Linked DNA regions of Arabidopsis thaliana. The protein of the gene in region 3 interacts with the protein of the main gene of each other region in a pairwise test. Each region holds a gene or a part of one and is shown on either strand. Other genes may lie near its edges. The genes, in order: AT2G42910, HIPP20 and AT3G49160.

Region 1 (11,360 bases), on a different chromosome or scaffold from region 3:
GAGCATTACCCAAAGCCGTCCAACCGGTTTCATCAATCGAAGGAGAGATGGCTAAGAGGCCACGTGGCAGACCCGCTGGCTCCAAGAACAAACCCAAACCACCAATCATTGTGACTCACGACAGTCCAAATTCCCTCAGAGCTAACGCCGTTGAGATCAGCTCAGGTTGTGACATCTGTGAGACTTTATCGGATTTTGCAAGAAGGAAACAGAGAGGTCTCTGCATTCTCAGTGCCAATGGTTGTGTCACCAATGTGACATTAAGGCAACCAGCTTCATCAGGAGCAATTGTCACATTACACGGACGTTACGAGATCCTCTCATTGCTTGGATCAATCTTGCCTCCACCAGCACCACTTGGAATAACTGGTCTGACCATTTACTTAGCCGGACCTCAAGGACAGGTTGTTGGTGGAGGAGTGGTTGGTGGGCTAATCGCATCTGGTCCTGTTGTTCTCATGGCTGCATCTTTCATGAATGCTGTTTTTGATCGTCTTCCTATGGATGATGATGAAGCTGCCTCTATGCAGAACCAGCAGTACTACCAGAATGGAAGATCCCGTCCTTTAGATGACATTCATGGACTGCCTCAAAATCTGCTCACTAATGGAAACTCGGCTTCTGATATCTACTCTTGGGGGCCTGCGCAGCGTGTCATGTCGAAACCTTAATACTACTGCTCTAATCTCCACGTTTCATCATATCAAATGCCTTAATCTTATTATCTCATTTACCTTGGAATCAAAGATAAATGTGTCTGTAGGTTGAGAGAGAACCGTAAGTCTGGTTAAGAAACTGAAGCTTATCTCCCTTTGTAGTTTGTACCTGCAACAGTAAAAAGAAAAAACTGAAAAAAGCAAAAGTAAATGATTATGAATTTTAAGCACAATCCTCTAATTTAATACGAAAATATTACAATATTTTTATCCTTGATCCAAAGTGAATGTTGGCCATTAATAGCAGAACATGTGAAGAATCATACAAACTGGTGATTTCTCTTTACCTGTGTGATACCAATTGCAGTTGCACCGTTCCAGCAATTATTTAGGAAACTGAGCTAGCAACCAACTTCTGATTTTACTCCACTCTCATCCCAGTTTCAACATGTTATATAATCTGTAAATCTCTAGAGGATTTTTGAGGGTTTCACTAACAAGATACAAACTCTTGACGTTTCAGATATCTGGGGATTAAGGAAATAAACGCGGTTTCTCATGTTTATGATTGGGTACTTTCATGAGCAATGCCAAAAACATTAGTACGTCTATCACCTTAAACATCATAGCCTATTTCCCTAAATCCCTATTTCATTATCTAACTACCTTGAATTAAAATCAGTACTTCTGTGGGTAGAATAACATGTTTGGTGATGCTGAAGCTAATCGTTATGTACTTATATCTAGCCAGTGAAGACGAAAATATGTGAAAGTTTTCTCCTTGCACCTCACGGAAAACTTAGTAGATAAATCACAAACACATTAAAACTGACATCGAATGATAAACTAACCTTCAAGCACAAACTTCCAAACTTTTCTGGATTTGGATCAATAACTTGTGCTGTGCGTTTCCAAACCAACATTCTCGATGAAGTTTCTTTGAAAGATTCCGTTTAGGACGCTTTCCTGTAATGATCACACACAACAGAGGCACTATACATGGTCAGTGTAAACTGCATAGCATGTCATGGCATTAATTAGAGATAAAGACATATAATCATGCCTGTTATAAATTTCAATAGTTGGTTCAACACATGCATAGGCTTTAAATACGTCTCCAGGCAATGATATAAATACATGCAAATGTACATGATAGACAACAAATCATCATCATCAAATATAATCATCACCAGTTTCTCCATTTATTTTTCTACCAAAAAGCAAGAAATTTCTCAGAAAATGAAGACGAAGATGTTAATAACCCTCTTTGCACTAGTTTCAGTAGCAGGAACATCAGAAGCGACTGGTACACTTGCTGCACAGCAGAACACAAGCATTATACCTACATACACACTCTGGTGCATGGAAAATCCATATGCCTACTTTAGAAGAGTGATTTCGAGCCTAAAATGGGCTTGCAAAAATGGTGCTGATTGCTCACCATTGGAAAAGGGTGGCCGTTGTCAAGACCTCGACAATTACAGAAGCCAAGCTTCTTATGCATTCAATGACTATTACCAGAAGAATCCTATACCCAGAAACTGCGATTTCAATGGTGCTGCTGTGCTTACAGTTCAGGACCCAAGTAATACTAAACACTTTACATTCGAAAAAATAAAACCAACCTCTGATCAAAATTCCTAGAGTTCCATTGTGATAGTGTCTATATACGTCAGAACTGATTTTTCATAATCATCTTCAATTTGTGATTGTTGTTCTTCTTCTTATATCTGTGAACTTTGATTGCAGGCACTCCAACGTGTAAGTTTCCATCTAACAGGTGAGCATAAGATTCATTTTTTTTTTTCCATTTCGTTAACCTTCCGGAAGAAAAACACAGTAGATATAATTTATATAAATCAATTTTTCAGCACTGGTCCATACCCACTGACTTCTTCAGTAACAAGAACTGCAACTCCAAGCCTACGAAGCTTCTTTTGGGGTTTTGTATTCACATACCTGGCTTATAGTGCTGCTCAGATAGCTTGACCTAGAAGAAAACTGTAGAACAGGACAATCAAGGTGTGGTTTTACGAGAAGAAATATTTTGTATAAATAACAATATGATAAATTAGTATAATACCTAAAATGATATCTTCCGCTACATCTCCAAAACTATCAAATTGCTTATTTCTCTGCCAGATAAGTGAAACCAATCCTAGTTGTAGCATCAAACAATTCAGCGAAACCTGATTTAATTGTAGAGACATCCCAGTTTAAGATATCGAGTAAACTGTAAATCTCTGCGGATTTAGGATGCGTTCCCCCACAAGATATAAACTCATGAACTTCAAAATCCACTTCAATCGAACTGCAGCCAACTTCTTTCTCCATTTGTCTTTCCTTCATCAAAAGCCTCTGCTCAACTGCCTCTTCGAACAAGCCATAAGAAGCATAAGCATTAGACAAGAGAACATAACCACACGTTTCATCTGGATCGAGCTTCTTCAAACATTTTGCTGCTCGTTTAGCCATCTCAACATTACCGATTTTCCTGCAGGCAGAAAGCAAAGAACTCCATATAACAGTGTCTTCTTCCACCGGCATATTCTTTATCAATGCTTCTGCTTCTTCGAGGAGCCCCGCTCCACCCAGCACATTAACCATTAAAGTATAGTGTTTTATTGATGGCTCAATCATATATTTTTCTTTCATCAATCTGAAAAATTCATCAGCTCTATGTACTTCCCCGGAGTGAGCACAAGCTGTTAAAACACCAATGAAGCTGACTGAATCTGGTTCCAAGCCAGAACGCTCTAACTCCGAGAACAAATCCATGGCCCTTTCCTCGAATCCGTTATTAGCTAGACCAAGAATCATCGAATTCCAACACGATAACTGCTTCTTAGGAGCACACTCAAACACATTTAGACCTTCCTCAATGCACCCACACTTACAGTACATATCTATGAGTGCTGTAACAACTATACTATTCAATTCAAACCGATTCCTCACTATGTACTCATGTATCCATCTCCCTTGCTCACTTGCTCCAAGGTACGCACAAGCATTCAACAGACTCACCATTGTAAACCCATCAGGTTTCACATCTTTCTCCTGCATCTCTCGAAACATATCCAACGCATCCTTAAATCTACCATTCCTCACAAACCCACTAATCATCGAATTCCAAGAAACTCCATTTCTCTGCGGCATTTCATCAAACAGGTTCTGCGCCTGATCAATCAATCCACATTTCGCAAAACCCATAATCATTGAATTCCAAGCAACAACATCAAAACCTATCATCCCCAGAAAGATTCTCCAAGCTTCAATCAAACACCCACAAGTCACGTACATATGCAACATCGTATTCCGTATAAACGAGTCGTCTTCAAGTCCCTCTTTAATAACCATCCCATGTAATTGCCTCCCATCACGAGCTTGGCCAAGTCTACCATAAGCTTTGAACACCGAAGGATAAGTCAATCTCTGCGGCTTCACAGACGGAGAAGAACACAACATGTCAATGAAAATCGAAATAGCCATCTCTGGAAACGAGCTCCGTGAGAAACCACGGATTATAGTGTTCCAGACAAATGGGTTCTTGTGATTGATCCTAGTGAATACCAAATAAGCGTAATTCATGTCTGACGGAGACGCACAGCAGAAGGCGAGGACACGGCTCGCGGTAACAGTATCGGAAATTAAACCGGTTTTGATGAGACTGGCGTGGATTTGCTTAAGTTCTCTCATCGTACTACATTGTGTGTCTATCAATCGGAGATAAGTGTTGCCGGAGAGGGAACCTGATGACGGCATCGCCGGCACCGTCACACCGGAGAAGGATAAGATCGTCGGAGACATTTTTGTCGATTTAAGTTTAAAGGTTGGATAATTTATAGGAGATTACACACGTGTGACATTATCGCCATTGATAATGAACAAGACAACCACACGTGTGTAGTTTTTCTTCTTTCTGAACTTAACGATTCAATTCATTGCAAAAGAAGATCAATCAACAAGAACAGAGTACAAGGTTTCAACAATCTGTCTAGTTATTTCAGCAAAAGTGATATGATTATTTCATAAATGATCATCCAAAGCACATCTCTTAAGAGTATAAAACCACCAAAAGTCCAAAACGAGCAAAGAACCAGGCTTTATCTCTACTGCTTCAAATCTGCAGAGCATCAGCAATGGATCCAGCGAGGCTCAAGACTTCGAAAGGAGCCTTGTTTCCGATGGCCTTAACCGTCTGTGGACAAGAATCCGTGATCCAGAAGTAAGCAAACGCTTCTTCTAATCCTAATTCGAAGAAACAATAACATTGACTTCAGTTTAAAGATGCAACAAGCAAGATATTTATAGAACAATGAACAAAGTTAGTTACTTTTTCTTTCATTTTCACAGATAATTACCGTTCTTCTTGTGGGTGAAACGCTCCCACGAGCTCTTTGGGAAGACACCATGAGTTACATAAGCACTCACCTTCACAGCTCCATGCGCTGCCAATACTTTCTGTTGTGACAAAAAGAAAGTGAAACAGTTAAGATGAGTAATTTCAAACTAGATTCTCAACAAATCTCATATAACATCAGAAATAACAAAGATTCTGATCAAAAGCCTCTCTTGAGTTTTGACACAACACTTGTGATTCAGAATTTATTCAAGATTGCTATAACCTATATGAAGATACAAAATGCAGGGATATGAGAATTTTGATACCTGGCATTCAATGAGTGTACCCCCAGACTGCACAAGATCATCCACGATAACAACGTGACAACCAGCAGGGTTTCCTTCCTTCAGCCTGACTATTCTCTTATCGCCTTCACGAACCTTTGTACACACAACCTATTATGAATCAAAATTGAGTTCCATTAGATATTGTGCAGGTCATAAAGATGTTCAAATGAAGCGTTATAAAATATCAGTTTTAGATAGCTACAAACCGTGGGATAATGATCCAACAGCTTATGGAAACGCTTCCAGGCTCCATCATCAGGAAATGCAACTATGACCTGCAAACAAATGGAATCAAATTTAGATTATTGAGCAAAAACAAAAAAGAACAGCCACTGAAAACACAAGTGGATGCTATCAGTAACAGTTTTTCATGAACTAACTTTCTCAGTTTCAGGAAGCTGTTGAAGGCGTTTAGTCAACAACGGGATTCCAGTCTCAAACAAAGGAAGAACCTGATCGGCAAAGTAAAACCTTTCCTGCAACACATGAACATATATAGAGAGAGTGATGAACTTGAATAATTCCACAAATAAATGTAGCAAACCCCCGGGGATATCAGAAATAAATAAACAAACCTGCAAAGCGTGAATGTCATAGATGACAACACTAGTCGGACCACCGCGTGAAATGGGGATATTAGAGACAATCCTTGCCATGGTAAAAGCAGTTGCTACATCTCCTTCCTCTTCCATTCTCTCAAAGGAGCCAGTGGGGAAGAAAGGCAACACCAAAGTGAAGGACGCAACAAACAATCGAGGGAGCAAGTAAATGACAGAGATCTGCTCAAAGATGACAGCAGGGGAACTGAATGAAGCAAGGAACGCAACGTGCTGGCCTCGGATATCATGTGCGTTGTTGATAAATAGATTCGGGAATCCATCAGCAAAACTCCTGAAAGCATAACAAATGACCACATCAATTCACATATCCTCAATGCCATCTATGAATCACCAAAAACTATCCAACCAGAGATTCATTTAACAGTAAGAGAGAAGAGAACTTAAAACACTTAAACTGCTATATTCTTACATAGAAAACTGAAACTTGCTCAAAAGATAAGATTTTTGAATACATAAGCTTCAAATCAAACAACCACACATGCAAACACACAGATTCTGGAGGAAAACCAACACAAGGGAATTTTGTTTCAGAATAAAGATATGATTTTTACTTAACCTAAACTCACATAAACCCAATAAACATCATCCAGAAACACAAAAAGAGAACCCAGAAAATGGGGAAAGAGGGAAAAACCTCCAGTTGATGGATTGGAGAGTGATGTGATCAGATTCAGCGGCGATGTTGCGAGCAAGTTCTTCGCACTCTAAGCAGTAAAAGAGATGAACTTTCTTCTTCTGTAATTCAGACACGATGGCGTCTGTACAAATCTTGGTCTCCATGATGTTGTTGGCTGCGTTCTCAGACATTGACGCCGTGAAAGAGTCCGAATGTACTTGCGACGGAATCGGATACACAAAAAAAGGGTTTAAAGGTTTTTTATTTTTCTGAAAAGCCCTTGTTTTTTTTGTTGTTCGGCTGACAATTTTGATTCCTTGCACTTTATTTCTGTACCCCAAATCTGTAAATGATACGTTTATCTTTATTTTAATTTCAAATAAAAATAAAACTTTAGGTACTGTTTACTGAATGTATTTCCATTAATGTTGTCATTATTTCCATTCTTTGATATTTGAAAACCTTCCCAAACTCTATCAAATCAATAGAGAAGAGAAATCTCGGTATCAAAAATCTGATCAATATCTGGAATCTGTAAAAAAGCTGGGAAGCTGCATCATTTTCATTTTCATTTTCATTTTCCTAAGTCAAAACTTTTTATATTTCCTTCTTAAACAGGCATGAACCAACGCAATTAGCCAAATATTAAAGAGTAACACTTAACTAGATAATTCCACCTTAATTTTCTTTAAACTGAGTTTTTTTGTCAACTTTAAAGTGATTTTTTTTTTAAAGAAATCCAATCGAGAATATATTTATTTGAGGCCGCTATCAGCTCGCATAAAAACCTTCATTAATATTTAATACTGCAATTTTAAAATTAAACCTTGATTAGTGTGACACTGACACTCAAATAAATATACTATATAAATAGGCCCGTAGGTCCTGATCCTACTCTTGTTGGACAAGGCCTTGAAATAACAAAACCAAAAGTTTCCACTCACCAAAACTGGGCTCCAATAATTTCTTTTTCTGAGACTAACAACAAAGAAATTTCAGATAATTTCTTTTATTTATCTGAGAAAAAATTAAATCATTTTTCGAACGACAAAAAAAAAAAAAAAACATTTTTCGATAAGAATATAGAAGATGAATTATACACATTGAAATAATGACGTGGAGCCATGTGTGCTACAATATGGCAGCACGAGAACATATCATGTTCGTCTCTCAATTATCAATCCACTGTCGTCCATCTTAAGCTCACGCAACACATCCTTGCGTGAACCACACGCACCACTCGAAGCAAGATCCACCGTCCGATCATCCCACCTAAGTCTCATCCCATGGTTCAACCGTCGGATGAAACCCTCGCTACGTCGTTCACAGTAATCCAACAAGCTAACCACATACACAGACTTTTCCTTATCCTTCCAATTCCCACCAAACTTTTCAAAGTGACGTCGTTTTCGGCTCTCCACGGCCAAATACTCCACCATGCCGGCCACAAGCTCCGGCGAAGCTCCTGACTCGTCTCCCCATAGCCATATTCTAACCATAGAACGTCGCAATGCAGATTCCACGGCGTTGCTAAACTTTTTTCTTTCCGTGAGAGATGGGCTTAATCTGATCACATACTCTCCATGACTTGCACCTGAAGTTACCGAGAACCTATCTACTCTATCACTACTGTTTCCACAGAATTGGACGGTAACGTGGTTTACAGGCTTACGGAGACGATGAGGAACACCCTCGTAGAGAAACCTCTCCACAAAGAAGCTTGCATCGAGCAATATCCGCACTGCCGTATCATCAGATTCGAAGAAAAGGGCGAATCTTTTACCGGAAGGAGAATCTTTAGCATCATTGATGATACTTATGGAGAAGCCTTTTGAAGCCTCATGGTTTGCCCACAAAGAGATTGCTCCGACGAGAAGTATAGAGAAAAGCCGCAGAATAATACCTGAATCCGATTCCGTTGCTAAGCCTTTGGTGGTGGGTTTGGCTAGGAAAGGTTGAAGAAGAGTCTGATCCGTCATTGAAACCATGGATAGATGTCTACATAGAGAGAGACGTGTAACGGTTTTGTAATGATAACTAATTGAGACAGAAACTTATAACGAACCTGTTGTACAACTAAATACTGATCATGTCTTTCACATGGAAAGGATAATGTACACGCAAGAGGATGTTATATACACATGACTGATATAGAGAGAAGTTTCCGAATATAAAGTATACAACGTAATGTACTAATAGGGATGTTTCTTTAATCGGTTGCTTCGAGTGAAGTAATCCCTAAAAACTGGTTACTTTGTTCCGTGGAGAAAACAAGCCTTAATACTGTACATTCTGTTTCTTCCATAACCGCGCCAGACCTGTACACTTAGTTTACCTTTGATGGTGAGTTAGAGTTCCCAACTACTAGTTTTAGTGGGGATTCAAGAGGACTCTTCTGCAGCATTCTTGGAGTTACCGTTCTCCCTCGGATTTTCGATAAGATCCATTGTGTAAGACCAATCTGAATCAGGCGCGGTTATGTTCCAAATGCTTGAAAACAGTTGCTCCTGTATGATTCATAGATACAAGGTGAAATCGGTGGAAAAATCTGAAGATACTGCATATGCATTTTGAAATCATGTATCAAAAACAAAAACAAAAATGAGATTTTGTATCGGATAAACATACGTGATCATTGGCGTCTTGACCATCATCATGGTAGGAGACTTCTGGAAACAATTGCTTTTGTTCCTTCATAGAACTTGGAGTCTGCATGTATGACGCAAGGGCAGACTTTCCTTGGATCTCTGCATATGCCAATGAAGCAACTTTCCCACTGTTGAATTTCTCCCATATTTTACCATTGAAAGTCTGCAGAAACACACATTATGAATATCTTTTAGCTATAACAATCTCAAGCCATTGAATCGGATAATTACCATATCCACAATACATAGTCAACTTCATGACTAGTGAAGAGAAGTTTTAAAGACAATACTGAAGAGAAAAGGTAAAGAAACCTGTTGGAAGGGAACGATGTGCAATGGAGAGACCATGTTGATAAAAGCGTGACCCATGTTGCATTTATTCTGTATCCAGAAAAAAGCTAGATTGTTAGTAAGTTCTCAGGTCATACAAGTGCATCATGAGTTCACTCTCTCTTATAGTATAATACCTTAAAGTCTGTCGGCAAGCATAGAAAGTCATAGTCTCCCTTGTGCTTTTCGTCGATTTCAGCCACCAGCATCTTGTAAGTGTACCTTACAAAACAAAGCATTTGAAATTTAAACATTGCTCGAATATCTTAGATTGAGATCAATAAAACGCTTACTTGTTTGGGATGTTTTTGATGATTAATGTAGTTCGGATTTCATCTCCACTAGCAATCCTATCCAAGTCGATATGATATCTCCCACCATCTATGAACTGATTCTGATTGTGACTCTCGTGGTTATGTATCCTACCCTGCTCAGCAAAAGGTTCAGGCCTTACTGATTGTAATCCTCTACTCCCACCGAAAGGAACTGTAGGCATTGAAGACATGCCAAAGCCAGTGAAATCCTGTTCACTACTGTTCCCCGGTAGACTAACACCAAGGTTTGCTTTTCCATGAGCACTGTTATAGTTTCTGTTGATTCCCATATCACTAAATCCAAGGGGTATCTCTGGTGATCCCGTGTAGCAATTCATTTGTGTATTAAAATGAATGCTTGAGGGAGCAGAGCCCACATGATGCTGGTATTTTCCAAGCAATGAAGCCTGCCTCTCAGCAAATGGAAAACCATGCCTGACAGTGAAAGGACGTTCAGTAGATGACGATGACGACGACACTCCAGTGTAACCAGGATAATTCATATGCTGAGGAGGGCTTCCCCAGCGATAGCGGTGATCAGATGAAGTCCCGAATCCTGAGGAGTGTGGAGCTATAAACCTCATGGAGTTGGAAATTCCCCCTGTTATATGCTCTGGCAAAGAATGAGGTTGCCCATAGGAAATGTTGTGCATCAATCCCTTATTCAGAATAGTTTGGTTTGAATGATTCAATAGCCCTTGGTCATTACTGACTGGTGAAAATCCATGAAAGCTAGAAGGATGAGCAGGAAGAATTGAAGCCAGTCCTGGCATATTGTCTGAGTTAACTGGCCTGACCATTCCTAGACCATGTGGCCTCGTAAAGGCATGCGAAGGAGAGCCCTTCACTGGGCTACCAATTGGCCAGTTACCTATTAAGTAGATTGAATGAATTACGGAAAAGGCATGCTAACCAATCGAGAGAAAAAGTTGATAAAAGAAATGATCAATATGAGATTACCTGGTGGAGAATTAGCAACATGTGAACCTACTTGATTGTAGAAATTTGTAACTTCGGTTCTCTCCAAATCTTGACTTTGTGACGGGACCGACCTGCATACAAAAAGTTTCCGTTCACAGTGTATGCAAGATAACTCAATTCTTTGACATATACAAAGTGCAGAAAACTCACAGTCGACGAGCCCCTCCAGGACGACTAAGTTCGAGCTTTATACATTTTCCACCTATCTCGCTTCTATTCAGTGCTTTCAAGGCTGTCTCTGCATCTCTAACATCATAGTACTCAATGAACCTGTGGAATCGCCTGTTTGGGGTTTCTCTAATCTGCATTTACAAGTCAAGAATCAATAAGCAGGTGATATGTTACATTATGTACCAAACAAAGAGAAGAATCTCTTAGACATAGCATATGCACATTTGAACGCACAAGTTAAATTACCTCTCTTATTTCACCATAGGCACCAAACAGCTGAAGGAGCTCATCATTCGATACTGTTGTGTCCACATTAAAAATCACAAGAGTTCCTT
Region 2 (10,121 bases), on a different chromosome or scaffold from region 3:
ATACTTTTTCTCAAAGACGACAAACAAGTGAGGGGACAATAGTGTGAACACAACACGAATCTATTCTAATCACTTTACAACCTAAGAAGAGCCGTAGCCAAGTAAAAAGCAAATTAACTTCACTAATCTTATACGATATCGAATTTAATGTTAATGTTTTTCATTAAGGAGATAATGTTCAACATTAGTTAGTCGGCTTAAGTTGGTCAAGAAAGTTAATGAGTCTATTTTTTTGCATGTAATACAGGTGTAAATCACTAAATGATGGTTATTTGAATTTTCTATCTAAATATTTTGGCCATTTATAACCTCATGACAGAAATGGAAGATGATCTGTTTTCACGAACGACTATAGACTGGAAATTTAATTTAATAACATACCAAATATAACTTCAAGAAAACAGAGAAAACAAGAGGAAAATATATAATAGAGGAAAGAAATTAGAAAACAAGGAAACAAAAATTAGAATATAAGGAAAATGAGAAGAAGGAAAGAATTAAATACCCATTTCTTGAAGAACATGCCTATGTGAAGAGATTTGGGTTTGAGGAAGCCATTGACGAAGTGGTAGCCATGAAGTGTTGGTATATGAGGAAGCTTGTCAACGAACATCTCAAGCTTCCCAAGATTAAACAGTCGCTCCTCTTGCTTTATGCCTCCTTCGTCTCCGGTTACGAGCCATGCCATCGTTACGATTAGAAGCAACATGTCTCTGGTCATTCTCCTCCGAGAAGGCTCCATGTCTTTGTCCTTCACGAGCTGTCGAAATTATATGAGAAAAGTCAAGTGTGTGTGTGTGTTTGTATGTGTGGAATACTTAAAAGTTGAGGAGAGAAGTTGAAGAAGTTCTTTGGGGTTTTGCGTATTTATGCATACGAGTGTGTGGTGTCAAATAACTTTGTTGTTCTTTGCTTTCATTCTCTTGACTATTGAGTCGCTACTTTCCTAGAATTTATCTTCCAAAAAGGAATGGTTTTTTTTTTAATTAGTAAGCTTCTACATTATAAAACTAGAATTTGAATATTATATGTACATGACAAGAGTATTGATTTTTCTTAAAAAATGAATATATATATATACGTATATAATATATCCATTAATTATATGGTTTATATCTATCAAAAATTAACTGAAAATTAAACAGGGTTCATACTTCATAATTCTTTTTGTGAATAACAAGGTTAATAGTTCTGTCTTCTCAAATGGATCTTTTACGAAAAAATCAACATTCTTCTAATGGAACTAATACAAGAAAGAAACCATGGAAACTTTTGGGCCTAGTTCGTCCACTATATTTCGTCCCGTTATTAAGATATTTTCTCTAACTTACGCGTTACAAAAAAAATTAGAATGAGTTTTTCCAATCTCTCAAAAATTGTCTTAACCATGTTATCGTTTTAGCTCCTTCAGCCTCCCGTAACATGCATTATCGCAGACCTATAATGGTTAAAGCTAAGGTTATCATCCAAGCTTGTGGGAGGTCTCACAAACATTCCTTCACTAAACAGATCTTTATTCGCATGTCCAAACACCAAATTTCAACCATTGAAATTTGTAGTTATGTTTGCCTTAAAGGTCGAACCATTTCTCTGCGAGTTAGCCGAAATCTAGCAAACCTAATGTTCTCTAAAACTAATTCTTTTTGTTTTTTCTGTTTTTTTTTATAAACTTTTTCTTCATTAATATTGAAAGTAGCGAAAAAGTAACCCATCAGTCTATAAAAGACTGACAATATAAAATATACCTAGCCAGGCCCAAAATGAACCCAGCATCAACAAATAATTTTTCAAAAGGGAGAATCAAAAACAGCCCAAAAACCTAACATATTCTTTATTTGTTACAAGTTGGAACTATAGTTCCTTTTAAACTTCTCTTGATGCTACTCCAAAGATTATCATCTAGCATGAGTTCTAACGTAAAAAACACGCAAATAGTGGTTATACATATATATATATATATACTCTATGCTTTTCATTTGAATACACATCATATATTATACAACTACAATATATATTCATGCTTTTAAAAAATAATTCAGACAAATCCAAGAAACCTAAAAATTAAATTTAACAAGAAAATACACCAAATTAACTTTTTGAAGAGTGTGAGGAAAAAAATCAAATTAAACCAAAATTAATCAATTTGACTCTGAATCAACAAAATTTAAAACAAAATCAACCATTATATATACAAAGTTCCTATTATATACAGATTTTGTGATCAATCCAGTTCTACAAATTTCAGGTTTGGTTCGTTTTTGGTTTCACAGATAATTGCTAGTACTATTGACTTTTGAGCCTGTCTATGTTTTGGTGTTCCTAGTCAAAATGACTGGAAGCCGTCGATGTCTGGGGTACTGTACACGTGGAGGTTATCCAAAAGCCCATCTCCCACCTAGCTAAAAATGCGGTTGTCGCCATCAAACGACGATTTTACCTTAAGTCCCACCTTGATATGTTCAAACGCGCGTTTGCGTTTTCCCTTCGTGTGCCGCTTCTCATCTCTCCATTTGTTTGCGTCCTTTTCACAGTTTCAAATCTAACATATCCATTTTTGTGTTTCAACTTTCGAGTTATGCGAAGTCATAATTTAATAATCAGTCATATCAGTTTCGTCCCAAACAGTTGATTTGAAATATCCAGCGAGATACTTAAATGTCATCTCATCATAAGCACCATAATATTATGAAATTTCAAATTCTAATATTCTTGGGATTTTATTTAAAGATCACTCATTCTAAGGATTAAACAGGTGTTTGTTTTACGTGAGGCATTAATTTGTTTTGAGTTGTACAAGAATAAAATCTCCCAGTATATTATATACAAATTCACAGCAAGGTTTGAACTACAAAAATATATTAAGATTAGACTATAATGTATTAAGGTTGGATATGTGCACGGTGCCACAGTTTTATTCGAAGAATAATATATTACATTTCTGATCATCCATGCATGTAACAAACATACTCAAAATAGTTATAAAGAAAACAAGAAGCAGACCAAATTGTGCAATAAATTAACCGTTTCGTAAGAAACACAATTTCTAATTTCACTTACAAATTGACTTGTCTCCTTGCGAGTGGTCGGAAATATTTTGCTATGGTTACGTTCCAAGTTAATTACGGTTACTACTAATTTTCTTGATTAGTTACGCGTCATTTTCTAAACCTAAAGTCATTTACTAAGAAAGTTATGACTACAAATACCTTTCTTTTTTTATGGCTGCATCATCAGCCGCATATCTACTTCGATTGAGGAACAAACTATATTTAATGGCTCCGAAGAAAATCTAGTTAAACGCTGTTGGATCTTCTATGTGTCAAAAACTACGTAATGGAAGATAAAATATAGAGATAAAAAGTTGATATTTTATTATCTGATGATGTATGGATTTCACTTGGCACAGCCGCATAGATTACCACAAAACCACTTCACAACACTTTTTTCGCTGACTAATTTGCCTTCACAAAACCAACAAAACTCCAACAGCACGTAGCTTTTTGTTTATTTTCTCTTAATTAATTTTTAACCAACCTGAGCACTTAACCGATTTTCCTTTTTTCGTATTTATTTTTAAATAACTTCAATTAATTCCACTAATATAATAATTTGCATAATCGTAAATAAAAACATAAATCACCCGAAAATACTTTGATATTAAACACATTGATTATACACATTCCACTAACTTATTTTGAAATATTGAAATTTTTACACAACTAGCTATAGTTGGTTCTTCCTCTCTGCATTAACATAACAAAAAGAGAGAGAGAGAGAGAGCCAATTGCTTGATAAAAACGTTACATGCTGTGGATAATACTACTAGAGTAAATTATTTATTACATAACGGTGCAAGCGTTGGGATTCTCGTCGCTAAAAAGAGAAATGTAGTGGTTCTCGGGAGCTCCCGGCAACAGCTGCAACTGCGACTGCTCAGATTTCCTGACATAACCGGCCGGAGCTTTTTTGTCGTAAGTTCCGACCGCGTATGGATATGCGACCATGTTGTAAGGAACGTACGGCCATATCTCCGCTTTTTTCCCTGTCCTTTCGATTCTCTTTAATACCTTCTTTGGTTCCACGTATCCACTCACCGTCACTTTATGTATCTTTCTATTCACCTCCACCGATTTCACACCTGCGCGATTTTTATATTGATATAAAGACCGTGTTAATTTGGCTTGTTGTATGTAGAAATGGTTTGGCGTGCTTACATGAGTACTCGTTTAATGGAAATCAAAATTACAAAAAAACTTACAGAAACCATTCATGACATAAGTAGTCTACGAGTTGGAGATTCGAACCTTTCATGGAGGAAACCGCGTTCTTGACTCTGCGTTCACAACCATCGCAGTCCATTTTCACCTTTATATTCACCGTCTGCATGACTTTCCGCTTCCTCCTTTTTCTGGTGACGCGGAAGTAGTCGGAGATATACTCGGAAAGAGAATCAAGAGCTCCCATGTCTATTACTCTCACCAAGAAAGATCAGAGATGCATATATTATGGACTGGACTTGACCATATTTATAGCAAGTACATGGTGACTTAATGGACAAGTGTTATGCCGAGGATTAAGTACAATTAAATGTGTTTAATATTCGTAAAGTGTAATTAGAGAGATGTATATGTGGCCCTCTAATGATGTTTTCCTCCAAATACACACGTTGGACAACGAGGCCAATGTTTTTGGGCTAAAGCACACGACTCCCGCCGATTTCTTTGTTACAAAATTCTAATATCCGTTTTATATTAAAAAGCTAACTATAATAATAATAATAAACAGAAGAGTTTGTAGTTATAATTTCTTTTTTTCTAACAATGTCCGATCGGTCGTTTATAATAAAACAATGTCACGGGATTAGAGGTTTATCATCCACATCACCTGAGTCACCTCAAAATTCACATGCGTCAAAGTTAATTCATTGAGAATGGCAATTATGGTTGTGTAGATTCTTCTTTTACCATCTAATCTTTTTCTTTTACAATTTTGTTTATGATCATTTTCGTCGTATACATATATATGATGTCGGTATGTATATATAAGTTTATGAAAAAATTGTAATCGTGTATTGAAAACGACATGACCCTTCTAATTAATTTAACACTTTTGTTACTTTGGATAGGTACACGATCGGATGAATGATAATAGGGTTTATAGATAAACTACACAATCACACATTCAATTATTTCAATTTAGGTCAGAAACAGTAAAAGGGAATAGTTATAAGAGAAAAATAGAAAGGAATGTAGCAATTTAAAGGGCAATGATTCGATGAGAAAAAATAAGGTGTGGGGGTCCGATCTTATACGAAGTAGACAACTCAATCAAACTATTTAGGTAGTCTATAGTTTGAAATAAGAATTGTTATAAAGCCCCTCCACATCTTTTTATTATGTACATTTAGACATTTTTGTTTTTTGCTTTATACTTTCCACCCTATAAACTTCGTTGGCATTTTCTTCTCTTACACCCCAATTATCATATTCTTCTTAGACCTCTTTTTTTTTTTCCTTTTACAAAATTATATTTTTTCTATTTTTCTCTTCTAAGCTACTCAACACAATTGATCGAATTTCAATTTTGAGTTAAAGTACCCCACGAGTAATTCTTGAAAAAAATTCAGCAATATACTAAAGAGGGGTGTTACCGATATGAAGTTAATTCCATAAGAGGGTTTCATTGAAATAGCCAGTGACAACATAAAATCTCGAGATTACCAAATCGACAGCTATTATATAGCATGCCATAGCATTTAGCATAGCCTCACTTTCAAAATTAAAGGTTACTAAATCAAGGAAACATAAGCTTTGATCAATGGATTATGCATGTCCACATCCTTCATTTACAAAAAAGAACACAACAACTGTTTTTAACTATCTACTATTTGTGAAAAGAAAAAATCATCATAGCCCATTCAATTACTTTGACCCATTCTTGTTTGTTTAATAACATTGACTTGTCCATTTCTCATAACGAAATAACAGTGTTTTCTATATGGTGACTACATCATACACTTTTGCTCGGATAGAAAACTGTCTCTAAATGCTCAGAGCTCTGAAATTTTGGATAGATCATAGATCATAACTATTCAATAGTCCAAAAATATCAAACAAAATGTAGTAATAGAGATAAACAAGAAGAGAAAACAGAGCCATGAAACCCACTTCAGCCAACAAGTTGGGTTTTCCTCAGCCTATCCATCTTTACAACCAAATCCGTGACTTTATCTTTCCGGCCTTCATCGAGAAGTGTTTGTTTAAGACGGCTAAACATATGTCCCGGTGGCCTAATACCCACATCCAACATCTCATTGAAATACTCACAAGCCTCGTCTAATTTGTTCTCATGGCACAGAGCTGTGATCAAACTTGAGAACATGTGCATTCCTGGAAGAACACCTTTCCCTTTCATCTCGTCCCAAATCTTGATCGCCATATCCAATCTCTCTTTGTTACAAAACATCCTCACCATGATCTCGTAAGTACTCACCGTCGGTTCACAACTCATCGTCTGATAAACTTCATACGCTTCTTTCGAGCGCTGCATTCTAATCAAATGATGAAGAATTATATCATAAGTTCTAGCATTTGGCCCAACCCCTTTTAATCTCATCTCATCAACGGTTTTGTATGCGTCTTCCATTCGCTGTGACCAGCAATAAGCACCTACTAGCGCATTGTAAGTAGGTGCTTCAAGAGGAAACCCGGAACTCTTTGATCTCTCAAAGAACTCAAGAGCATCATTCAACTTCTTCTCAGAGCCAAGTCCATTAATCAAACTACAGAAAATGTGAGGACTTGGCTTACAATTCCTCTGTTCCATCTCATTGAAGAATCTAATAGCTTCTTCATACTTCTTCGCCTTGCAATGCGCATTGATAATAATACCGTAAGCGACAACATCCGGTTCAAAACCTTCGTCTTTCATCTCTCTGTTAACCTCATCAACTCTCAAAAGATTCAACTCCTGACCCCAACCTTCAAGTAGAATAGTATAAGACTTAATATCAGGCTCAAACCTTTTCTTTTTCATTTTATCGAACACCTTCTGTGCATCCCCAACATTTCTAGATTTGCTCAAAGTATCAAGCATACGATTAAAATCACTTGATTCCATCTTAAACCCAAACTCTTCCATCTTATGAAACGCACCTATAGCTTCTTTAACTTTCCTAGCTCTAGCGTAACGTCTAGAGATAAGAGCAAATGTCTCTTTGCTCAAAAGCTTTTTTGCTTTCATGTCGTCTACTAAACTCCAAATGAGTTTGAATTGTTTGATCTTACCTAATGATTCGATCAATGCGTTGTAGTTTGAAGTAGTGTGCTTGAAACCCTTTTGATTCTCTGCCCATTTGAATACAGACAAAGCTAAAACACCAGCGTTGCTTAGCTTCTTCAGTACTTCTTCGATTAAGGCTGGTGAAAGTTTAACAGAAGCTTCGTTCAGCAAAGTTTCAACCTTTGAATCCGTGAATTTGGTGAGAATCTTGCAGATTCTCTCTGCGTCTTGTGAAGCATCATTAGCAGAAACTTGGGTTTCAACAGAAGAAGCGTGAAATGATCCGTAAAGTGTAAAGTTTGAAGCTTTATGAATCCATGGAATCGATTCGAGACTCGGTGACGAAGACGAAGAGATTCGAGAGTACACACGTCGAGAGAGATTCACTCCGGTGACTCTGAAGAATCGAGAGAAGACCATTGGAGGAGAAAGTTTAGATCTTTAACTTTCAATTAACTAAGATACAACAGAGGAACAAAGGTTTATCAAATTTGCGAACAAAAGTTCTCTAATGGCTTTAACAAAGGAATTACAAAATCTGGGAAAGAGAATAAAAATATCTCCTTTCTCTTCTCTTTCTCCTTCTCCTCGTATAAATACAGCAGCCACTGTGTTGTTGCCCAAAGAATTTAACCTTACAGAGACTGAAAACAATGTAGTCTCGTGTGTCGTATAATCACTTGCATTGATTCGATTGTGAATTCAAATCATCAAGAAAATTCGTTATTGTTTCGTCTAGCTTCTTAGCTTGAGGTCCAGCTTTGACAATGTTTACTTCATCCCACTCCGAGCAAGGATCTGTCCACCAGCTACTGTGGCTCGAGCACCAAGCGCCAGGAGTGACTCTGTAACGTCCACGTTTCAGGATCTCTCTATCGACCATGTCGAGTACTGGATCATCTTTCTTGAATTGTCTAGCGAAAGCTGCTCCGCTTTGAGCCATTTGGTCGAAATCCGATATAGTAAGGAAATGTGGTTCCATTTTTGGTGGACTGTCCCATATCATGTATCGTAAGTCCCCGTTGACTGTCGTGTTACTGAACTCCGGTGCGTTGCATATCACCGTGTGGAAGTAGCATTCTTCAGAGAGAATGACATTGTTAAAATACATGAGAAGGATTCTTGGTAAATTATCCCAACCGAAGATGCAGTATTCTAGGAAAGGTCTGCTTAGTACAATCCAAGGCGAGCCTGCAGTGATATCACAAACCAGCAACATGAGATTGTATACATATAATGAATGTAGCCAGAGAAAGTATTATTAGCTTCTGAATCTTTTGCCTGTAAAGACTTTGAATGCATCTGGTGTTGGTCGCTTTTCGGTAGCAGTGAAGAGCTGAGTTCTTCTAGCTAAGTAAAGTGCTGGATCAACAACAATAGGCTTGATTCTCTGAGATCTACATAAAGATCCATTATCATCATAATCCCCACCAAATGTACAAGAAACAGTTCAAGAGACTGGCAAAAGTTGTTTACTTACTCTTTCCAAGCAAGGTCACTAGTGTGATCAATAAAATTGAGACTTCTGTTCACCGAGGCAAACACATGAGATAGGTCTGAGAGAAATCATGAGCAAAGAAAATTCATTAGAATCCAGGTCATAAGAAGACAAACAAACAACCAGTGGAGTAATAAAGTTCTAAATCAGATTATTTGCCATAAAGAGATCAGTGAAAGTGATTACATTTCCACTTTATTTCCAGAAAAAGAGTATATATATTCTAGAGTATATCATAAACACTGCAATCTCAAGAAGCTAAGAGCAGAAACTAGAACATTAAAAAGCTCAAAGACAGGTCAAAAACAAAGATCTAGAGTGAAAATGAATCAAAATCACAAGCAAACTAAAAAGCTAGTTTCTTCTCTAGTTTAAGATTAAAATAGAAAGAAATCAAAATTAAAACATACCATCTTGAGTTATGAGAGGATAATCCAAAGCACTAAGCTCAATAAACCAATTCCAAGTAGGATCAAGCTTAAGAAGAATAGAAACAGCGTGAAGAGTAGAAGCAATCTTAGAAGCACCATTCTCAGACAAACGATCAACTTTCCCTAAAACATCAACATTCCCAAAAGCATTCACAGCAGGAACAGATTTCAAATCAGAGAGAAGAGCTAGCCTCTCTGCATCAGTAGCTTCAGCACCCAGATGGATAAGATACCGATTCCTAGGATGATAAACCGCAAGCAATAACCGAGAGATCCGGTCATTATCTCCACGACCACCGGTTATGTAATAAGCAAAAGCAGGTGGGTAATGAGCACCGTGACGAATTGAAGAAGGGAATGGTTTAGAGGTGAAAGCAGAGATAGAATAAAGTAAGAGAAGGAACACTGAGAGGAATACTACAGAGAAGAGTGTGAAAAGCCATTTCTTTTCAGCTCCCATTGTTCTTCACTTCTTCTTCCTTTCTTTGATTTGTTAGAATCTGGCTCCGATTGAGCATATATACGGATTCACAGATTGAAATCTGTGGTTTTAGAGCTCATATATGGATCTTTGAAAAAATGGAGGAAGATGAGATCTCGGTGAGAGTGAGATCGAACATAGATTGGGATCAGAGCCTGACGAGATCTCAAGAAGAAGCCAATGGAGGTAAGAGAGAAAAAGAAAGAGAGTGAGTATAAAGGTTGGGGTTTGAGAGACGTAACCAAAAGATTTAGACTTTGGAGGCTCTGCAGAAGAAGAAGACAACGAGATTCTTAGGTTCAAAACTTCGATCTCCGACTCGGTCGGTTGTAGAAAAAAAGAAAAAACTTTGGCAAACTTTTAATAACTCCATTGTTAACAGTAATAGCTAACTTTCTTCCACCACTTCCAATTTCAGGCGCGTGTTATA
Region 3 (11,624 bases):
CGGCGAAAGCTGAAGATGTGTTTGAGACTATGAGAAGATTTGGTAAGCGAGATGTTGTTTCGTGGAGTGCGATGATGGCTTGTTACGGTAACAACGGAAGAGAATTAGATGCAATTAAGGTTTTTGTTGAGTTTCTGGAGTTAGGTTTGGTGCCTAATGATTATTGTTACACGGCGGTGATACGAGCTTGTTCGAATTCGGATTTTGTTGGAGTTGGGAGAGTGACTTTAGGGTTTTTGATGAAGACTGGGCATTTTGAATCTGATGTGTGTGTGGGTTGTTCTTTGATTGACATGTTTGTGAAAGGAGAGAATAGCTTTGAGAATGCGTATAAGGTGTTTGATAAAATGTCTGAACTAAATGTTGTTACTTGGACTTTGATGATTACTCGGTGTATGCAGATGGGGTTTCCTAGGGAAGCGATTAGGTTTTTCTTGGATATGGTTTTAAGTGGATTTGAATCAGATAAGTTCACACTAAGCTCTGTGTTTTCGGCTTGTGCTGAGTTGGAGAACTTGTCTTTGGGAAAGCAGTTGCATTCTTGGGCTATTAGATCAGGGCTTGTGGATGATGTTGAATGTAGTTTAGTTGATATGTATGCGAAATGTTCTGCGGATGGTTCGGTAGATGATTGCAGGAAGGTGTTTGATAGAATGGAGGATCATAGTGTTATGTCGTGGACGGCATTGATCACTGGTTATATGAAAAACTGTAATCTCGCTACAGAGGCTATTAATCTCTTTAGTGAAATGATAACGCAAGGTCATGTTGAGCCAAATCATTTCACTTTCTCGAGTGCATTCAAGGCGTGTGGAAATCTTTCGGATCCACGGGTAGGTAAACAGGTTCTTGGTCAAGCTTTCAAAAGAGGGCTTGCTTCGAATAGCAGTGTTGCAAACTCGGTTATCAGCATGTTTGTTAAATCTGACAGGATGGAAGATGCTCAGAGAGCTTTTGAGTCACTTTCTGAGAAGAACTTGGTTTCGTATAATACATTTCTTGACGGAACATGCAGGAACTTGAATTTTGAGCAAGCATTTAAGCTTTTAAGTGAGATCACTGAGAGAGAATTAGGTGTTAGCGCTTTCACATTTGCTAGCTTGTTGAGTGGAGTTGCAAATGTTGGTTCAATAAGAAAAGGCGAGCAAATCCATTCTCAGGTGGTTAAACTCGGGCTCTCGTGCAATCAACCCGTCTGCAATGCTTTGATCTCTATGTATTCCAAATGTGGAAGCATTGACACAGCTTCCCGAGTCTTCAATTTTATGGAAAATCGTAATGTCATCTCGTGGACTTCAATGATCACAGGTTTCGCTAAACACGGATTCGCTATAAGGGTACTCGAAACATTCAACCAAATGATAGAAGAAGGGGTGAAGCCAAATGAGGTCACTTATGTTGCAATCTTATCGGCATGCAGCCATGTTGGTTTGGTCTCCGAAGGATGGAGACATTTCAATTCAATGTATGAAGACCACAAGATCAAACCTAAGATGGAACACTATGCTTGTATGGTTGATCTTCTATGTCGAGCCGGGCTTCTCACAGACGCATTTGAGTTCATTAACACAATGCCCTTCCAAGCCGATGTTTTAGTATGGCGTACGTTTCTTGGAGCTTGCAGAGTTCACAGTAACACAGAACTCGGAAAGTTGGCTGCGAGGAAGATCTTAGAACTTGATCCGAATGAGCCTGCAGCTTATATACAGCTCTCAAACATATACGCTTGTGCAGGTATCTATATAATTCAAACACAATCAGATAAAACTCTTTCTTCTACTGATCTACCTTGTGTGAAAGTGACACTTTGTTGAATATTTCTATGTAGGGAAATGGGAAGAATCTACGGAGATGAGGAGGAAGATGAAAGAGAGAAACTTGGTTAAAGAAGGAGGTTGCAGTTGGATAGAAGTGGGAGATAAAATTCATAAGTTCTACGTAGGTGATACAGCTCACCCGAATGCTCACCAAATATATGATGAATTGGATCGGTTAATTACAGAAATAAAACGCTGCGGATATGTTCCTGATACGGATCTTGTTCTTCACAAGCTAGAGGAGGAGAATGATGAGGCGGAGAAGGAGAGGTTACTATATCAGCACAGCGAGAAAATTGCGGTTGCGTTTGGGCTTATAAGCACGTCGAAATCTAGACCGGTTAGGGTGTTCAAGAACTTACGGGTCTGCGGAGATTGCCATAACGCGATGAAATATATATCGACAGTCTCTGGTAGAGAGATTGTGTTGAGGGATTTGAATCGTTTTCATCATTTTAAAGATGGGAAATGTTCTTGTAATGATTATTGGTGAATGGTGACTTTGAGATTTAGATACACAAATGAGGCTTTTCTATTCAATGTTATTTTAAATCTTGAGGATTTTGGGTTCAATGTGATCGTTCTTTTTAAAAATAAATAAAGAGAAGCATTCTAATTTATTTAAGTTATTACAGTTGAAGATGATTCAGACAAGTTTTAAGATACTAGTGGTATTAGCAATATCCGGTTTTCCGATGATGGAATCCCGTATCCAAAGCAATTTGGGATCAACAAGCAATAAGAGTATTGAATATTTGGCTTTGAATTGCCGGAAACACAGTGCGGTTTTGACGAATTTTGGAGCTATTGGAGATGGAAAACCCTCAAACACCAAAGCGTTTCGAGAAGCAATAAGTAAGCTTACTCCGTTGGCGGCTGACGGTGGAGTCCAACTCATTGTACCGCCGGGGAGTTGGCTCACCGGAAGTTTCAACCTCACAAGCCATTTTACTTTGTTTATCCAGCAAGGTGCAACTATTCTTGCTTCTCAGGTAATAAATATATCTAAGCTCAAAATTTTAGCTAGTATCGTACACCTATTTATGAATGCACTAAAAAATATCAACCATTCTATTTGAGATAAATAATCACATTTGGTTTTATTTCGTTTGTAACAAACAGGATGAGTCTGAATATCCTATGATTCCACCTTTGCCGTCATACGGAGATGCAAGGTTTACTGGTTTAGTATACGGAAGTAACCTAACCGATGTTGTTATCACCGGTAAGCACAACAAAACTTAAATCATTAAAATGGTTTGATGGATATATATATATGAGATTGAATCAAAATTATATATTTAGTTTATAAGATCAAATTTGTTGTTAGGTAACAAAAGAACGACTAATGGACAAGGGAAGTCATGGTGGTTGAAGTATCGAAGTGGCGGTTTCAAGTCGATATCAAGACCTTTGTTGATCGAAATCATCTTCTCCGAAAACTGAAGAGGTGACACTAATCAACACACAATCCGCTATCCGAATCAAAACCGCTATAGGACGTGGCGGTTACATCAAAGACATTTTCGCTAGGAGATTTACGATGAAGACGATGAAATACGTTTTCTGGATGACCGGTTCGTATAAGCTGCATCCCGTAGGCGGGTTTGATCCCAAGGCGTTGCCGGAGATTAGCAATATCCATTACCGTGACATGACCGCAGAAAACGTTACAATTTCGGCAAAGCTAGAAAGGATCAAGAATGGTCCATTTACGGGTTTATGCATGTCGAGTGTGACTATAGCTTTGTCGCCGGACCCGAAGAAGCTGCAGTGGAACTGCACGGATGTCTCCGGAGTTACTAGTAGGGTTACACCGGAGCCGTGCAGTTTGTTACCGGATAAGAGAACTACAATGGACTCAGACTGTGATTTTCCCACGGATAAGATTCCTATTGAGAGTGTTGTGTTGAACAAATGTTATGCTTAGAAATGTGTTTGTAACTTTGTACCGATTTATAGGTTTCATTATTCCCGTAACTAAAAGATTGAATGGTTTATGTTCATTCTTCAGTTTACAAATCCGCTAATAATTTTCACAAACTTTCTAAAAAACATCCAATAAATGAATCATAGTTTCAATAAAATGTAATTTAGAAATAATGTGTCAAATTTTACAAAATCTAATTAAGCAAACTTAGCCATTCTTATTTTTTTGTTCTTACATGGTTAAAAGTTATACATATATTTGAAATTTGAAATAGTCAGTTAAGTGTTTCATATATTCATAAACGACTTTGTCTAATTATAAAACTCTTTTACAATAGGAGCTACTTTCCCAAACTCTTTTAAAATTTACCAAACAATTTCCATTGTTGGAATAGATAAACCAAATTAATCAGTTTTCACGGAATTGGTTTGGTTAAACCGCATGGACCGGTCTTTTTTTTTCTATCTTTGGGTCTCTTGTCTGAATAGGTTTAGAAAAACAAAGCGACGTCGTTTTATAATGGGGACCTTTCAGCCTCATCCGTCCGTGTTACTAGATTCCCCGAGAAGATGAATCTGACACGCGCTCGCCACACTCCCTTTTTATCCTTAACCACAACTTTTTTTATTTCATTAAGAAAATTCTTCATCATTCTTTCTTCTGCTTCTTCTTCTTCTTCTTCGTTGAAAAATCTGTCTTCTCTTCTTCTTCTTCTTCTTCTTCTTCTTCTTCTCCTCAAGACGAGAGCGAAGACATTATCTGAACAAAGCGCTTCTCCATAACAAAGGTATTTCTCATGTTCTTGTCCTCTAGGGAATGAGTTTCGGTTGATTTTGATTCCTTCCAGATATTTTCTCAATTCCAGTAGCCTAGAAAACTTATTTGCTTAGATATGATTTGTTTCCTGGATTTTGATTTGTGGTAGGCTTGTTTTTGTCCTTTTCACGAACTTGGAATTTGTTTGTTTTTTTGTTTTCTTTCTTTGCGTTATACATGTTTCGTTTCTTGTCTTTGTGGTTATGCCTAGGTTTTAACCTCTGTGTCAATCTATAACAGTTTCTCCTTTTTCGTTTTGATTCTCAGGTGATTCAATTAGTCGATATGGTAGGACTTGATTCAAGCCACTTGTTGAGAGACAAGATCCTTTGCTTCTCCAGCAGGTCTCACATAAACAACCAACATAAGAAGACAAGTTATGCATTATCACTTAATCACATGAAACTTCCTATTCAGAGAACCTTAGCTTTTGCCTTAGCTCGCGGGAAAGGCGAAGCTGAAAGTTTCAGCAGATTGGAAGCCACCTTTGGTGATAATACCTCCACAGAATGTACCTGGAGTTTTGACTTTCCAGATTCTAAAGATGCTATGTCTCATCTCAAGTCAGAAGCAGACCTCTCTGGAAGCAATGGGGCCAATAATGTGGCTAGTGTTATCGAAAAACTGAATGCTCTTCGGTCACATCTCTTAGCAGCAGAGAAATGGAATGCTTCTCAACTACACTTATGTGACAGGTTTGTTAACCATTTTATATATAGTTTGCATTACTTATTTTTCGCCTAATTTCCTAGTACCGTCTGTTGCAGTAAGTATCTGGAATGTGCAACAAACTTAGTTCATTATATGGCTTTGAGATCTCTGGACATTGAGCAGCTCAACAGTCATCTAGCTTCTCTTGGTCTGTCAAGTTTAGACAACAACAATCTGGATGTTCTCGCCCACCTTAACGCCTCTATTAATCTTTTGATGAACGATCAAAACGCTGTGACGGAGTCTTGGACTAATGTATATCCCAAGGGAAAAAGTACTAAGAAGAATGATAAAGGGAGGGTATTATCATACAAAGAGTCATTACTTGGTAAACTTCGTGAGGGAAGAAGTACTCATATCATGGTAACTATTGGTGAAGAAGCAACTTTGAGTGAAACATTTATAACTGATATTCTTAAAGCTGGAACATCTGTTATCCGTATAAACTGTGCACATGGAGATCCAAGTATTTGGGGTGAGATCATCAAAAGAGTAAGAAGAACTTCTCAGATGTTAGAGATGCCATGTCGCGTTCATATGGATTTAGCAGGACCAAAACTCAGAACTGGTACCTTAAAACCTGGTCCGTGTGTGATGAAAATTTCACCAAAGAAAGATGCTTATGGAAATGTTGTTTCTCCTGCTTTGGTATGGCTCTGCCTCACAGGAACAGAACCTCCTGCTCATGTTTCCCCTGATGCTACTATATCGGTCCAAGGCCAAGATTTTCTTGCTGGTCTCCAAATTGGTGATTCTATAAGACTATGTGACGCTAGAGGGAGAAAGAGGAGACTTAAAATCTCAAAAGAGTTTCATGTTTTCAACAGTACCGGGTTTGTGGCTGAATGTTTCGACACTGCTTACATAGAAAGTGGAACTGAGTTAAGTGTTAAGGGAAAGAAAGGGAGACGTTTAGTTGGACGAGTAGTAGATGTTCCTCCCAAAGAATCTTTTGTAAGGCTAAAAGTTGGAGATTTACTAGTCATAACCCGAGAAGGATCGCTCGATGAACCATCTGTAACTGTTCCAGGAGCTCATAGGTTAACTTGTCCTTCCGGTTATTTGTTTGATTCAGTCAAGCCTGGTGAAACCATTGGTTTTGATGATGGAAAAATATGGGGAGTCATAAAAGGAACAAGTCCTTCAGAGGTAATTGTCTCCATAACTCATGCACGTCCAAAAGGTACAAAACTAGGATCAGAGAAGTCCATTAACATACCGCAGAGCGATATCCATTTCAAAGGCTTAACATCAAAAGATATTAAAGATCTTGATTATGTAGCTTCACATGCTGATATGGTTGGTATTTCTTTCATACGTGATGTCCATGATATAACCGTTCTTCGACAAGAGTTGAAGAAAAGAAAACTAGATGATCTTGGTATTGTTTTAAAGATTGAAACGAAAAGTGGATTCAAGAATTTGTCTTTGATTCTTTTAGAAGCAATGAAGTGTTCGAATCCTTTAGGAATTATGATAGCTAGAGGTGATCTTGCAGTGGAATGTGGATGGGAGAGATTGGCTAATATGCAGGAGGAGATTATAGCTATTTGTAAAGCTGCTCGTGTACCGGTGATTATGGCAACTCAGGTTCTTGAATCACTTGTGAAATCCGGAGTTCCAACTAGAGCTGAGATTACTGATGCTGCAAATGCAAAAAGGTAAAATATTTTGCATTAGACATGATCTTTGTAAGATTTGCAGTTTCTTTGTCTAATTTTGCATTTTGAAAATATGCAGGGCGAGCTGTGTGATGTTAAACAAAGGCAAGAATATCGTTGAAGCTGTTTCAATGTTGGATACTATTCTTCATACCAAGCTTATCTACAAGAAATCGGACTCTGAAAATCTCCATTGATCTGCTTGTAGTTTGCTTGGCCATTTATATTCGTATTGTTGTTTTATAAGAAAGAGATTTTAGGGGAAATGTACAATGTATTTAGGATATGATGAATGAATAGAGATCATAACATGGAAGGATTAAGCTTGTTGATTCTAGTTCTCCCATTATGATTCCGATTGATGATGGTGTTTCAAACAGTGAACAGTATAAATAGAAAGTAATGCCAATCACAAACAAGAACGGTGTTTTGGTTGGTTGAGACACAAAACTCATGTGTTTACGAAAGAACATTGTTTTATTACCATCCTCTTTGAAAACCATCTTTCGCATTCAATCATGAGAGGGATTGTCACTCCTCGAATTAGAAAGGTGGTAAAAACAATGGAAGCCCACCTGCAATCACAGAACATACAGAGATGATTGATATAAGACATGGTCATTTTTGGGTGTAAAAAAACACAAAAAAGTGATCCAACAATAACTCCAAGGATGACATGATTTAAAAGTTGACCAACACAAAAAAAAGAAGAAGATTTCTTACCAGTTTAAGCCTGTGAGTGAATGCACATTATGAACTATCTGCTGAACAAAATCTAATTGGATGGAGGAATCGATAGCAGCATCGGCAACTTCGATGACTGTATCTTGCTGCACTAAATCAGTAAGAGTTTCAGCAACATGATTCACATCGCCACTCTCATCTGAGCCTGAAATATGTGAAGTCGACATAGGCCGATAGGTAGAGACACCAAAAGGAGAGCATAGTGGGAAATGTGAAGGGCTTCTCATCATATGCTGCTGAGAGAGAATCATCGAACTGCTGAAGGATCTCTGATGAAGAAAAGAGCCGTAATGTGGCTTCTCTTCATGGACATCATCACGTTGAATGATACCGCTACAAGATGGTTGGTAGCAGCGAGCATTGAATAAGGATCTGAGAGACAAAGTGCGTCTCAAGTCCCTGTAAACAGTAAAAGATTAGTGAGATTGGTATTAGAACAAGCCAAAAAAATAAAAAATCTCATATTTAGTATCTTAAAAGCTTAGAGAAAAGAAAACGCTATAATAAAGCAACACTTCTTCTTCTCCACATTGCAAAACGCAGAACACAAAAAGCAGAGACTTAAAAATGAGAACTTTAGAGCCAGTGAGCACAAAAACGCAGAGCACAAAGAGGAGAGACTAAAAAACGAGAACTTTAGAGCCAATGGGCACACATAGAATCTCAAAGTATCATCATCATGATCAAACAAGCTGTAGAATGAAACAAAGAGACGAACCTGATCGAAATTTCTACACGGCGACGGAAGAACAGAGAGCAGAGTGGGAAAAAGTGAAAGTTAGGGTTTTTAGTGAGCAAACGAAATCGCTAAGCCTCGATTCGTGCTCATGCTTTCTCGGTGGGTAAGACAAAATGTACAATTTCATGACTCCTCCTACAAAATGCAGAAACGATTTCGCTCGCACTTAAGAAGACGACAAAATTGCGAGAGGACCAAAGATAAATTTAAATGTAACGATTTGGGGTTGTTTTGCAATATCAGAACAATTGGTTTGACATAAGCTTAAATTTTGAAGTTTTGAGAAAACATAAAGTATATAATATTCAACACAAAAGTGAAAATGCGTATTGAGAAGGCGAAAGAGTAATACACATATTACAGAACAAACCCCGTTTAGTAGATACCGAATAGATGATTCGTAGACACGTAGAAGTTAGACCTCGGGGATTATATAGACTGTGCATTTCGACGAGGTTACTAACATCTGAAGTTTGCTTATCACATCTTCATAAATTTGTGTATCGTAGAACAATTTCATTTCTTCAAGATTCGGCATTGTCTCCAGGAAATACATGACGAGCTCTATCTGCTTCTCCATGTCATCATAGTCATCACAAATTTCACCAAATTTCCATATCGTTAGAAACTGCACCGGACTTGATGATAGGCAACTAGGAATGCCACGTGAAGATTTGCATAGACACCCGTCAACATCCTCACATTTAATTGTATCGTTGTGATGGAGCCCCTGAATCGTAGAGTAACCAACTTCAAACTCAATTTTTGTTTACAAATTTGTGTAAGCAAATGCAATATATGAAAGGTTATGAGTTAGTACATCGAAGATAAGGCTTTCTAGATCTGGACAGTTTTTGAGTAGAACCGGCAATGACTCCCATCCTGCTTTTTGGTCAGTCTTAATAATTAAACAAACCAGGTTTTTGAATACCGGTATTTGTTCACAACAGAAAGTAAGTACCTGCAAGGCATGTAACACTAACTTGTTTGTCTTCTTTTTGTTTCAATGTAGCCAAAAAAGAAGAAGAAGGGATTACAATACAAACCTCAATGGTATTGGCAAATAATTCAAGGATCTGAACATTGCTTATTCCCAAAAGAAAATCTGTTGCATTACCGACCAAATGTTCATAGCTTGCATGTGTACGCTGATGAGATGTCATTTGAAGACAGATACTAGCGTAAACAAGTGAATCAAAATTCATATTTTTATACTTGTCTGCAACGCAATCATGGTATACAAAGTAGACAAGATTGGGTGTATCAAACGAAACACTCTCCGGATTTACGGCATGGACGTCTTCACAAAAGAACGTTAGCCTCTTGAGGGTTTTAGAAGATAGAGAGCGCTTCAAATAACCATCCCAACATATATTCATAATAAATAAATCCTCAAGAACATGACAACTAGTAATAAGCTTCACAAAGCCGTTATCACTGTGTCGTAACAAGACTTTATTAAGATATAGAGTCTTGAGGTTTGGAAGAAAAACATCTTCCACATCAATGAAGGCACCGTTTCCAGTTTCTATTCTCAGATGAACCAGTGCCTTGCTCACAAAGATATCTGGAGGCATGGTACCATTATCCCAATACACAATACAACGTAGATCAAGATCCGATACCCCGCGTTCCATCACATTTGATATCCAACGAGATACACAAGTTGGATCAGTAAAATCTCGGCATGTTAGAGAGAACTTGTTGATAGGATAATCACCCTGCAAACTCAATACTCTATCAACGAAATTCTCAAATATTGTCTCATTTCTTTCTCCGTCAGGATTAAGATATACTACAGCGTCATCAAACTCAAGATTTGGTCTGAAAGCAAATAGATGCTGCCACTTTTTCGAAAGTACTGAAGTCAAAGCCGAATCTTCTATGGGAAGGAATGACAAGATGTGGCAAATAAGAGCTTCTGGTAGATCACTAATTATATCTTTTTTTGAATGATCACTAATTATATCTTTGCAACATATATCCATCCTTTTTGAATCTACTTTGACAGATCTCAAACAGTTACAACCTGAAAAATGACATGATCTTGAGTTATGTAATTTATTTTAATCTGAGAGTTTTAGATGTATGTTCGGGAAAAAACACAGTTACGAATGAACAGAAGTCGTTAAAATCCGACACGACAGAATAACAAAACCATGAAGGAGAAAATTGGGAAACTCACATAGGTAGTACCCCACGGTATTGAGAACTTTGAACATCTTTTGTAATCGTGGCGGAACGGGTGACTTCTGGTTTGTCTAAATTTCTTTCTAAAGGTCAATTTTTATGAGAAAATGTCGATCATATATGTGGAACAATGATCGATCGAGACTAGTAACTGATGGATGAAAAGAAGGCAAGGAGACTTGGTCTCTCTCTCTCTCTCTCTCTCTTTATTTATTTTACTTTACTATGTAGTGCAAAAGAATGTTCTTTGTTCTGATAGACATGATTGTCACTTTCTCATTTTCATATGGTGTTACTTAATTTTGATATCAACTTTTCAATAAGAAGTACAAAAAAAGATAGACAATACTTCTATCTTTCTTTTTTGGGGCAAAAAGCAAAAAGCAAAAAATACTTCAATCTATCAATAAAAGTCCTCGATTTATATTTCAAAATAAAACAATTCTGAAAATTCTTAAATATGTACTTGGTAAATTTAATTTTTCCCCAGAGGAGGAGTTTTACATAAACCTCACTGTCACTGCAACTTTTACTATTAACCTTGTGACTGATTTACAAAGCTCAAAGATGACTTATCTAAACCAAGTTTTAATGACTCATATATTATTAGATTTATGTTGTTAAAAAATCAGATATATAAACCCAATTGGTCATGTAAGACCGGTCTGATCCGGTTCAACTATATATGATGGTTGAATCTCTATAACCGGCTTACCTACACATATTGTTACCGTTGCTATTTGCGCTCGCTAGTCGCGCTATATATATAACCGTTGATGTTAGTGATGAGGTTCGATTTCAAAGCTCATGAAACGCATCAATGTCGATCTCCATCTTCTCCATTTTCCGAAATTCAGAAAATTTCAATCACGAAAAGTATCTTCGTCCCTACCCAAATTGGAACTCGATCAGAAATCACCACAGGAGACAGTTTTCTTACTTGGTCAGGTACTTGACACTTACCCAGATATCAGAACACTTAGAACAGTCCACTCAAGAATCATTTTGGAAGATCT

Evidence for each region.
Region 1: the proteins of AT3G49160 (region 3) and AT2G42910 interact in a two-hybrid assay, tested with the Arabidopsis thaliana proteins (one large-scale study listed by BioGRID).
Region 2: the proteins of AT3G49160 (region 3) and HIPP20 interact in a two-hybrid assay, tested with the Arabidopsis thaliana proteins (one large-scale study listed by BioGRID).

The regions. Positions count from the first base shown.
Region 1 is NC_003071.7:17,851,808-17,863,167, reverse strand, and holds AT2G42910 (Phosphoribosyltransferase family protein), read right to left. Parts: upstream 6,920-11,360; 5' UTR 6,773-6,919; coding exon 6,600-6,772; intron 6,237-6,599; coding exon 5,921-6,236; intron 5,822-5,920; coding exon 5,726-5,821; intron 5,621-5,725; coding exon 5,552-5,620; intron 5,454-5,551; coding exon 5,325-5,453; intron 5,118-5,324; coding exon 5,018-5,117; intron 4,905-5,017; coding exon 4,774-4,904; 3' UTR 4,501-4,773; downstream 1-4,500. Other genes in the region: AT2G42940 (Putative AT-hook DNA-binding family protein), read left to right, coding at 1-671; AT2G42930 (Carbohydrate-binding X8 domain superfamily protein), read left to right, coding at 1,896-2,300; AT2G42920 (Pentatricopeptide repeat (PPR-like) superfamily protein), read right to left, coding at 2,784-4,463; AT2G42900 (Plant basic secretory protein (BSP) family protein), read right to left, coding at 7,739-8,569; ML2 (MEI2-like 2), read right to left, coding at 8,963-9,088, 9,210-9,392, 9,542-9,610, 9,697-9,781, 9,853-10,744, 10,834-10,925, 11,005-11,156, 11,272-11,360.
Region 2 is NC_003070.9:26,799,483-26,809,603, forward strand, and holds HIPP20 (Heavy metal transport/detoxification superfamily protein), read right to left. Parts: upstream 4,811-10,121; 5' UTR 4,465-4,810; coding exon 4,305-4,464; intron 4,139-4,304; coding exon 3,840-4,138; 3' UTR 3,615-3,839; downstream 1-3,614. Other genes in the region: LPR2 (Cupredoxin superfamily protein), read right to left, coding at 506-742; AT1G71060 (Tetratricopeptide repeat (TPR)-like superfamily protein), read right to left, coding at 6,169-7,701; AT1G71070 (Core-2/I-branching beta-1,6-N-acetylglucosaminyltransferase family protein), read right to left, coding at 7,958-8,472, 8,563-8,678, 8,762-8,837, 9,190-9,670. UniProt on the Arabidopsis thaliana protein: Heavy-metal-binding protein. Binds cadmium. May be involved in cadmium transport and play a role in cadmium detoxification.
Region 3 is NC_003074.8:18,217,640-18,229,263, reverse strand, and holds AT3G49160 (pyruvate kinase family protein), read left to right. Parts: upstream 1-4,358; 5' UTR 4,359-4,534; intron 4,535-4,830; 5' UTR 4,831-4,848; coding exon 4,849-5,258; intron 5,259-5,330; coding exon 5,331-6,935; intron 6,936-7,014; coding exon 7,015-7,132; 3' UTR 7,133-7,386; downstream 7,387-11,624. Other genes in the region: EMB2261 (Tetratricopeptide repeat (TPR)-like superfamily protein), read left to right, coding at 1-1,734, 1,829-2,310; AT3G49155 (F-box/LRR protein), read right to left, coding at 7,387-7,510, 7,659-7,930; AT3G49150 (F-box/FBD/LRR protein), read right to left, coding at 8,834-9,148, 9,239-9,300, 9,380-10,406; AT3G49142 (Tetratricopeptide repeat (TPR)-like superfamily protein), read left to right, coding at 11,416-11,624.